Oryzias latipes: one gene and its partner. The protein of the gene in region 1 purifies or fractionates together with the protein of each later gene. This does not show direct contact. Links are inferred from orthologs where the notes say so. Each region holds a gene or a part of one and is shown on either strand. Other genes may lie near its edges.

Evidence for each region.
Region 2: the proteins of ccnk (region 1) and cyclin-dependent kinase 12 purify together in Homo sapiens (affinity purification with mass spectrometry; 6 studies listed by BioGRID and IntAct, with this or other methods). This does not show direct contact. The link is inferred for Oryzias latipes from reciprocal best matches to the Homo sapiens genes CCNK and CDK12.

Annotation. Positions count from the first base shown.
Region 1 is NC_019882.2:3,583,689-3,587,976, forward strand, and holds the start of ccnk (cyclin-K), read left to right. Parts: upstream 1-1,291; 5' UTR 1,292-1,429; coding exon 1,430-1,438; intron 1,439-1,890; coding exon 1,891-2,123; intron 2,124-2,325; coding exon 2,326-2,407; intron 2,408-2,500; coding exon 2,501-2,632; intron 2,633-2,738; coding exon 2,739-2,844; intron 2,845-2,918; coding exon 2,919-2,976; intron 2,977-3,108; coding exon 3,109-3,278; intron 3,279-3,355; coding exon 3,356-3,564; intron 3,565-3,654; coding exon 3,655-3,685; intron 3,686-3,796; coding exon 3,797-3,865; intron 3,866-4,163; coding exon 4,164-4,288. UniProt on the Homo sapiens protein: Regulatory subunit of cyclin-dependent kinases that mediates activation of target kinases.
Region 2 is NC_019866.2:5,843,610-5,848,079, forward strand, and holds the start of cyclin-dependent kinase 12, read right to left. Parts: upstream 2,909-4,470; 5' UTR 2,018-2,908; coding exon 840-2,017; intron 1-839. Other genes in the region: F-box/LRR-repeat protein 20, read left to right, coding at 4,392-4,433. UniProt on the Homo sapiens protein: Cyclin-dependent kinase that phosphorylates the C-terminal domain (CTD) of the large subunit of RNA polymerase II (POLR2A), thereby acting as a key regulator of transcription elongation.

The DNA of each region.
Region 1 (4,288 bases):
TCTTCAGGGTGTTCTTGACAAAAAGAGCAGGTGACATCAACATCCTTTTTGAACCTTTGGAGATACAGTTTGGTTGGGTAGACTTATGGATTAGTTTAAATGAGATTTCTTTCACTTTATTGGTTAAGAAATATTTTTCTGGTAGATTCCAGATCTTTTTCCATGATTGGTAAACTCAATTATTCCAATAAAGTACATAGGGAATGGACACAACATCCTTCTGAAAGAGTGAGCACATGCGGCGATTTGTGTTACGTGAAGAAGAAAAACAGATTTGACCTATTTGTATTTTAGTTGGGTCAATTGGTAATAAAGTTGGACTCTGCAATGATGTTAAAAATCACATTTTTCCACCAGTGTGTTACTGTAGCGTTTCCTCTTTTCTTTTTTTTCTTTCAAAACTTTATTGAAGATGTACAGGATACAAAATCAAGTCAGTTTTTAAGTACACAGATAAAAAAAGAATAACAAAATGTGCCAGGGGAACATAAAGAATAAAGGACGAAAAAAGATTATAAACAAGAGCAGTCAAAGCAGTAAGTTGCTATTCTATACATTTAAATAACGTTTTCTCTTCTTTTTTTTTAAACTTTATTGTACAAAACGTAAGTACGATACAAAACACAATTTTACTAAATAAAATTCAGATATGCCAGGGGAGCATACATACTAAATACATTTTACATAAAAACATTCAGGTTTCTGCAACTTTCATATAGACATACTGCTTTCTGATTAAGACTCTTGGAGATGTTACTGATATACATTTCAATTTGTTTGATTAAAATAGGGAAAAATAGAAGATGGAGAAAATTTAAATGTATGTATATAAAATTTGCCAAAAATAATAACAAGATTAACTATGAGTTTTTTTGTTTGACTCCAAATTTTTATTATGAAGGCCAAAAATTATATGTTCAAACTTTAGATTAAAGTTGGGGTGAATGCGATTTCTAATAAATTGCAAACATTTTTTCCAAAATATTCTAATTATAGTACAATTCCAAAAAAGATGGTCAATTGTTTCTGGAAATTCTTTGCAAGAAGTACAGTTAGGGTCAATTGTTTTAATGTATTTTAGCATAAATTGATTGGTGCGGTAAATTTTGTGAATTATTTTATAAGAAACTTCTTTCATTTTATTATTTATCATAAATTTTTGGGTCACAGTCCAGCCTTTCTTCCAGATACTGTCGGGAACAAAACGTCTCCAGTAGGTTCTACGTAGTACACGGTAACGTTTTCTCTTCAAGCAGCGCACGCGGTTGCTTGTGACGTCATGACGTCCGTCAGCCGCACTTGACGTTCTTCAAAATGGCGATTCTGTTGTGCCAGCGGGTGTTCTGTTCGAATCTGTCGCTAACTTTGGGTGAATAACTGAAGTCTCGTGTCGCGTTTGTGCTCTCCGGTTAATCCTGTCGTCGCCTACATGATAAAGGTACGTGCTGCGTCCTTCCGCCGGAGTCCGGTGACTCCAAATTTGACTTATTTATCGTAGCTTGTCGGCTCCGGCGGCTTTGCTAGCCGTTAGCGGGTACATTCATTCAGTTTCATCGCTTTACTGGCCGGCATGTTTTGGGAACATCCCCCCCCCCCCCCCCCATTATGAGTTTTTGTTTTTTTTCTTCAAAAAAAAATCCCAATTTTTAGGTTTATTTATTAATATACTTGCATCATTAAAGAGAAAGCGGTGAACACTGGTGATCATTTTCTAAGCTTTTATTAATTTGTGAATCTCTGGCTTTTATTTTATTTTTTGGACGTTTTTACACGACTCTCTAAATAAATTTAGGCCCATTTAAATACAAAATTGTATTTAAATCAGAATGAAAGAGCTACATCTGACTGACCAAAGTTGTCCATAATATCGACATTTATTGCTATTTTCAGCAGTCCAGCAGCACAGCAGGTCCATCCACCACCTCCCCTCAGTCAATGAAGGAGTCCAAGGACTTCTCGGGCGGCCAGTCCTTCCTGGATCACATCAAGCCGTGCTGGTACTGGGACAAGAAGGATTTAGCCCACACCCCTTCCCAGTCCGAGGGTCTTGACCCCGGGACCGAGGCCCGGTACAGGAGAGAAGGAGCCCGCTTCATTTTTGACGTGGGGACTCGACTCGGCCTGTATCCTCGATGGGTTCAGTAATCTGAGCAACGGGTCTCAGTTTGCAGCTATTTGAATGCATTCTCTGTACATTTAGCTCACTTGTTTATCATGATTGGGCGATTTTAAGGCTTCTATTGTGCATGAAGTAAACTCCTATGGTGAGGGATTTACTGTTTCTATGCTTCTGTCCTTCTGAAATGGATTCTTAACTGCCAGCAGACATTATGACACTCTTGCAACTGGCATCATATATTTCCATCGCTTCTACATGTTTCACTCCTTCAAGCAGTTTCCCAGATATGTATGTTCATGATTTATTTACTCTTTTGGTATTTTTTTTTTTTTTTCATTAACACAAAAGCTAATGTGGGATTTTGGGTTTGTGTTTCTACAGGTGACGGGTGCCTGTTGTCTTTTCTTGGCTGGGAAAGTGGAGGAAACGCCAAAGAAGTGTAAAGATATCATTAAAACAGCTCGCAGTTTACTCAACGATGTCCAGTTCGCCCAGTTTGGAGATGATCCGAAGGTGCAGTTCTATTTTAATAAACAGTTTTTTTTTTTTGAATCTTTCATGCCACACATTTCTGTGAGTCTGAAGTGCAGGACAGTCATGTCTGACCTTGTTCAAACAGGAGGAGGTGATGGTGCTGGAGAGGATTTTGCTCCAGACCATCAAGTTTGACTTGCAGGTGGAGCACCCTTACATGTTCCTGCTGCGTTACGTCAAACAGCTGAAAGGTGGGACGGGGTTCGTGCAGAACCGCTGCCCCAATGGAGCTCAGAAAGACTCATGTTTTGTTTTGGTGCTTCAGGAGACAAGAACAAAGTATGCAAGGTGCTCCAAATGGCCTGGACCTTCGTCAATGACAGGTAAGAGGTGCTGATTCTCGCATTGAGCTTTTAAGAATCTTGTAGTTGTTGCTAAATGTGTGTTTGAGTTAGAATAAATCGATCTACACAGTTGAGATAAGGCCTTCACTGCTTTATTTGCGTCCCTGGCAGCCTGTGCACCATGCTGTCCCTGCAGTGGGAGCCGGAGATCATCGCCGTGGCCGTCATGTACCTAGCAGGCCGACTTTGTAAGTTTGACATCCAGGAGTGGACCTCCAAGCAATCGTCGCGGCGTTGGTGGGAGCAGTTTGTGCAGGACGTCCCAGTTGAGCTGCTTGAAGGTTAAAAAAAAAAAAAACTTTATTGTTTTCCTCAAAAACGTGGGGCTTTCAGTCACAGCTTCCTTTGGTCCCTTCAGACATCTGCCACCAGATCCTGGACCTATATTCTCAAGGGAACAAGCCCATCCCTCAGCAGGTCCAAGAGAAGGAGAAGACGGCGGCTGTCACACCCACTGCGTCGCCGGTGCCGCAGGGGCAGCTCCCAGTTTCCAACCCGCCTCCCCCACCGCCAAAAAAGACGTCGCCGCAGGGGGGCAGTCCCGCACGGCAGCTCAAACGCTCCCACGTAAGCAGGAGTCGTCTACGCAGCAGCTGTTTAACATCATTACGAGCTGTCAGATGGTAAACTCGCTTTTTTTTTTGTAAATTCTTTCAGACATCCCCTAAAGATGAACCAAAGGCTCCAGGTGAAACAATTTCTTCGTTTTTTCGCAGAAAAAATCTGCAAGAGAGAATATTTTAAATATTTGTTCCGTTTTTTTTTTTTTTTATTAATTTTTTTAATTTTAAATTTGCAGAACAAACTGGATCAAAAATTCCCCGACTGGAGAGTCCCATGCCCCCACTACCGGCTGTTCAACCACCAGGTGAGCAGCTGTTCCTGAACTTCTGTTTGTGTTGAACCGAACAGGATTAGTGTTTATACTCCAGTTTGCTGATCTGATGGCAGATTTATTGTTTGCATGTTTGGCTAGATAGGAACTGAAGCTCATAAATCAGACTTATGTAATCAGTTCGTCTGTTTCAAAACATGCAGGCTGTTCCAGACCAATCTGATTAGGGCTTAATCCAAACGAGGAGGGCTCCTCTTTTCATTGTTGGAGAACTGAGGTCATTCGAGGTCATGAAACATCTAACTTGTTGTTTTTTCTCCTCCTGTACCAGCTCCTCCTGCAGAAGCAGAGCCAGGAAGTGAAGTGGCTCCTCCTCCCCCTCATGCTCCACCTCCCCACCAGCCCCCTCCCCTGCCCCATCGCCCTCCACCTCCTCCACCCTCCAACTACCTGATG
Region 2 (4,470 bases), on another chromosome or scaffold:
ACCATCTAAAGTAAAATCCAAATAATCCACTTCAGGAATAACTTGGACGAGGCAAGTGAAGGTCTAGATGAGCTCATGCTATAAAATTCCTTAGACCAGCAAAGAACTTACTCTTTCAGCCTCAAAAAAAAAAAAAACACAGAATGTTATCTGGCCTCAACACTAATTATTGAATATATGCTTTAAAATGTGGCATCTCCAGATTGTGATCAAAAACTTGTCTTTGACAGAGGAACAGATTTTAGGGTGTGGACCAATGCCTACAGTCTATGACCATTGGCAGACAAAAAGGGGTTAATTTAAAGCCCAACTCCTTCCACTGTTCCGACTGCTTTCCTTCTCTGCAAAAACCAGAGTCAGCATTTATTAGCAGCAGGACTTTAAAGACCCTACTCCCATAAAAAACATGTGTTTTGCGGGGCGGTTTGTGACACGTTCTTGTGGCATTCATCTGATGATGGACATATATTAAGGGGGGAAAAAAAGCTTAAAACTGCATTTGACCAATTCTTTGTCCAAATTCCTGTGAATCAGGAGGATTGTATTTGTGTCATAGAAAATACGCTAACGCTTCTGACTAAATCCACGTACGACTTAGTTTTCCTCGTCTGAACTGGCATCCAGCTCAAAATTGTAATGTTAGGTTGGGGGTGTGAGGGCCTGTAAGATACCAGGAGAGCGTGTAAACAGAGAACTCTCATTTATGGATGATGACAAGGGGGAGGGGTGGTTGCTCCACACCAACAATCCTGCTTACAACTACACCGTTTTTTTTTTTGTGGCTAAAAATGGCCAAAAGATGATCAGAGTGGGTCTTTAAAAGTGACGTTTTGACTTACCGAGACAACGGGCTGGTGCTGGAGGACCTCCGGGTACCGTAGGGGCTGATGGAGCGCCTTCTGGAGTAAGGGCTGCTGTCCCTCTCATAGCTGGAGGACCTATGTCTACTACCATAAGGGCTGTCAGATCTTTGTCTGCTGCGCCGGGACATGTCCCTGGTGGGACTGGGGCTTTGCTGAACCATTCTTCTCCTGGAATAACTGTCTTCTCCCTGTTGTCCGTAGTTACCGCCTAGTGGGCTCTCACTGCCAGGTCTTCTTCGGGGACTGGGTGACAGAGCAGAGCCCACTCCTTTCCTGCGAGAACTACCTCTACTTGAAGACTTGCCTTTGGGGCTTGACTTGTGACTCTTGGAGGACCGGCGGTGGGTCCTGTCTGTGCGGCTCCTCTGAGAAGAAGTGTGGCTTCCATCTCCTCTGCCTTCTCTGCGCTGTTTGTCTTTGCGGCCCTTCCCGGAGCGCCCGCTCTCCTTGCTGCGGGATGAGGATGTGGAGGAAGTGGTGCTGCCCACACTGGCTGCAGGCTGCACCTGGGCTGAGAGCATGGATGGATCCACACGTTTGAAGTCCCCTTCTGCCTGGAGCTGCTGTCTGGATGAGGAACCTAAGGCAGTGGTCTTATCTCTGCTCTTCAAGGAGCTCCCTTTCTCCTGATCTTTGCTGCTCCTCTTTTTGTACCCATGCTCCCCATTTCCAGGGTCCCTAACTTTATTCGGGTCCTTGGACTTCTTTCGGGGTGGCCTTTCTTCTCTACTCTCAATTTGTCTGTCTACTTCTAATTCTTCTCGATCGTACTCCGGTGATGGATCAAATCGGTCCACGCCCCCTCTATCAGAAGGTCTGGAGGACGGTGGATCTGAGAAAGTGTCCGAGTCCGAGCTGATATCATCGTACTCCACCAGAGGCTTCACCGTATTGACACCAGGAGGCGCCGTATCGCCGAGGGTAAAACCTTCGGTCCTCAAAGCCGCCGATGACTCCCGATTATGTTTGGTTGATTTATGCCGCTTACGTTTTGCAGACGAGGAGGAAGTCATGGAAGATTTGAACTGCAGCTTACCGTCTTTGCTCGTCATGTCTTCCTCAGAGGTATGGGCAGGGCCTTGGGGCTGGTGTAACACACCGCTGCTAAAATCCGGCTTCCTCTTGGTCCCATGATGTCGCTCCGACCCAGGCATACCTCACGCCGGGGTCTCTGCTGTTACCGGGCCTCGGTGATCCAGGCAATACATTCACAGAATAGTAGCGTCTCCAAAAGCCACAAAAGACTGATGCTATATCAAACAACAAAATGAAAGAAAAGAAATTAACAGCTCAAGACATACACACTCGTCCAGGCCGCTCAAGTCCAGTCCTCCTTAGCGCCAATTCATTCCTTAAGGTCACCAACTTGCTTCGTCAAGGCAAAAAGGATGTCGAGGTTGTTTTCCAGTGCCACGAATTCTGCACCTTCAATTAGTGAACGAAAAAGGTCCAAACCAAACATAGGAGCATTGTGGTGTTCGTCTCCGTCTGAACGTAGCTAGCACGGCTAGCTAATGGTCGGCAGCAAGAAAGCTGACTCGTAAAAAAGAAAAAAAATCCCTTTGTGAAAGCTGTCCTTGTCCGGTGCCAAGTTAAGTAAAGGTGTTTTATTCCACAGATTTACGGTCTCAGCTTTCAGAAACAAGCAAATGTCTTCAATAAAAGACGCCTGCTTCTCGAACAAACTGAAAACTTGACCCGGTTGGCTCTGTTTACATGTTCCCTTTAATGTAAGTTTTACCCCTTTAAAGTAAGTAATGATTCGAAATCATAGTATTTAAGTGTGCAATAATTGTTCCAGTTTATTATCAATGGCTCTGGAAATCAACCAGGCCTTTAGTTAGGGCGATGCTAGTGGATTTAGTATCATCCACAGCCCTATCTGAAGGAGACTACAAACGCCATTGTGGCTCCCGTGGCTAACAACGTCTGCGCACACATAGCAAGCAAACCGGAAGACGGTGCCTTGTCAATCTTGTACGTATCTTAGCAACAGCCAATCACATTCAAGCTCCCGCCTATTCGGTTTGATACGAGCTGCGACGACTCAAAACATATAAAAACTTGCTATTAAATTAAAATGATAGCTTTAGTTATATGACGTTCACTTATAAAGCCCGTAACATTTTAAGTAAAAAACAAAGAAAACCAATATTTCTTAGATAATTTCCCCATCAAGCCTATTTTCAATAAAAAGGCTTAAGTTTTTCGAGATTTTCCGATGGCTTTAAATTTAAGGACGCATATTGAAACTGTTCGAAAACTTTCGGTTTTCTCACATATGACCAAAGACACGAGTGTATTATAACATGGTTCACGGACCTCTTAGTTTGACTTATGTTATTTTATGTATTATTAATCGTCAGAAATAAAGGGCCGAAACTGTCATGTAAAACTTTATGGAGTCAAATATTAGAAACAGTCTCTGTACGCAAATAAAATCTAATTACATATTAAAGTTTCTGAACGAAAATGATTAAACATTTTTAAACAATAAATCACTATGATTCAAATAGACAATCTAAAGATTAAAAGAAATACAGACATTATTAATATCGTTTCATTTTGTTTATGTTTTTAGCTGCTGTCTTTCTCGACAATGATTGGTTGACAGGCTTAATACGTAATAGACTGTGAGTGGATCTGGATTCTGGTTAGTTGTATTTTTCAAAAGGGGCGTGTTCAAGAGCCAACGCGGAAGTACATTTTTTCCACCACACAATTATACCGTTTCAGTTTTTGTTTGCGTGGCCTTATAAAGTGTTCAAATACAAACTATGACATTATTATTGACATCCACAGCTTCTATGAATTATCCCTGAACCAGTTCTGTAACAATTTATGGGAAATAAAAGATCAGTGCATTCCTGTTTTCTGTCGTGTGTACCTTTTAAAGACGGGTAGGAACTTTTTAAACTCATTATCTTGGGATTAAAATAAAACGGTATAAATCGGATATGTATAAATATTACCCAAGCCCTGCCAGGCCAGGTATTTGTGCTACATGTGCTCGTTTAAAGGGTGACACCCCACACTGACGGATATCTTTGTGCTCGGCTCACACTGGGAGCTCTGGCTAGTAAAAGATCAGCAGGCGATCAAAGCAAACCCGTTTAGTAAGTAAAACAGCTGTCCTAATTTACGGAAAACCACGACTCAAAGCGACATAATGTATTATTTGCAAGTGAAATAGAAGAAGCGTTACAGTTTTAGGCAATTTGATCCCATTCCTGTCGTGCTATTGTGTGGATGGATCTAAAGCTGAACGGGGGAAGGAGGAGGTGAGGGCAAACCGAGTAGATAAGAAGAGAGGTGGCTTATTGGCTGGCTGTTGCTGCCACTAACTAACCTGCATTTATTTTTTTTTAATTTTTTTTTAACCAGAAATAAGATGTCTGGTTGTTTATATTACAGGCCGTGAGAGACAGCGACGTCGCGACCTGGGAACTACCGAGGGGGATATGATTATCGTGGAAAAGGCCCGAGTCTGTGTTTTCCCGAGCTCACACCGAATTCGTTGAGTCCAATATGGGGAAGGAGGTGAACGGCGTCTCGCGGAGCCGGTTTGAGGTGAGTTTTCCGTGTTTTGTCAACTGACAGTGGCGGA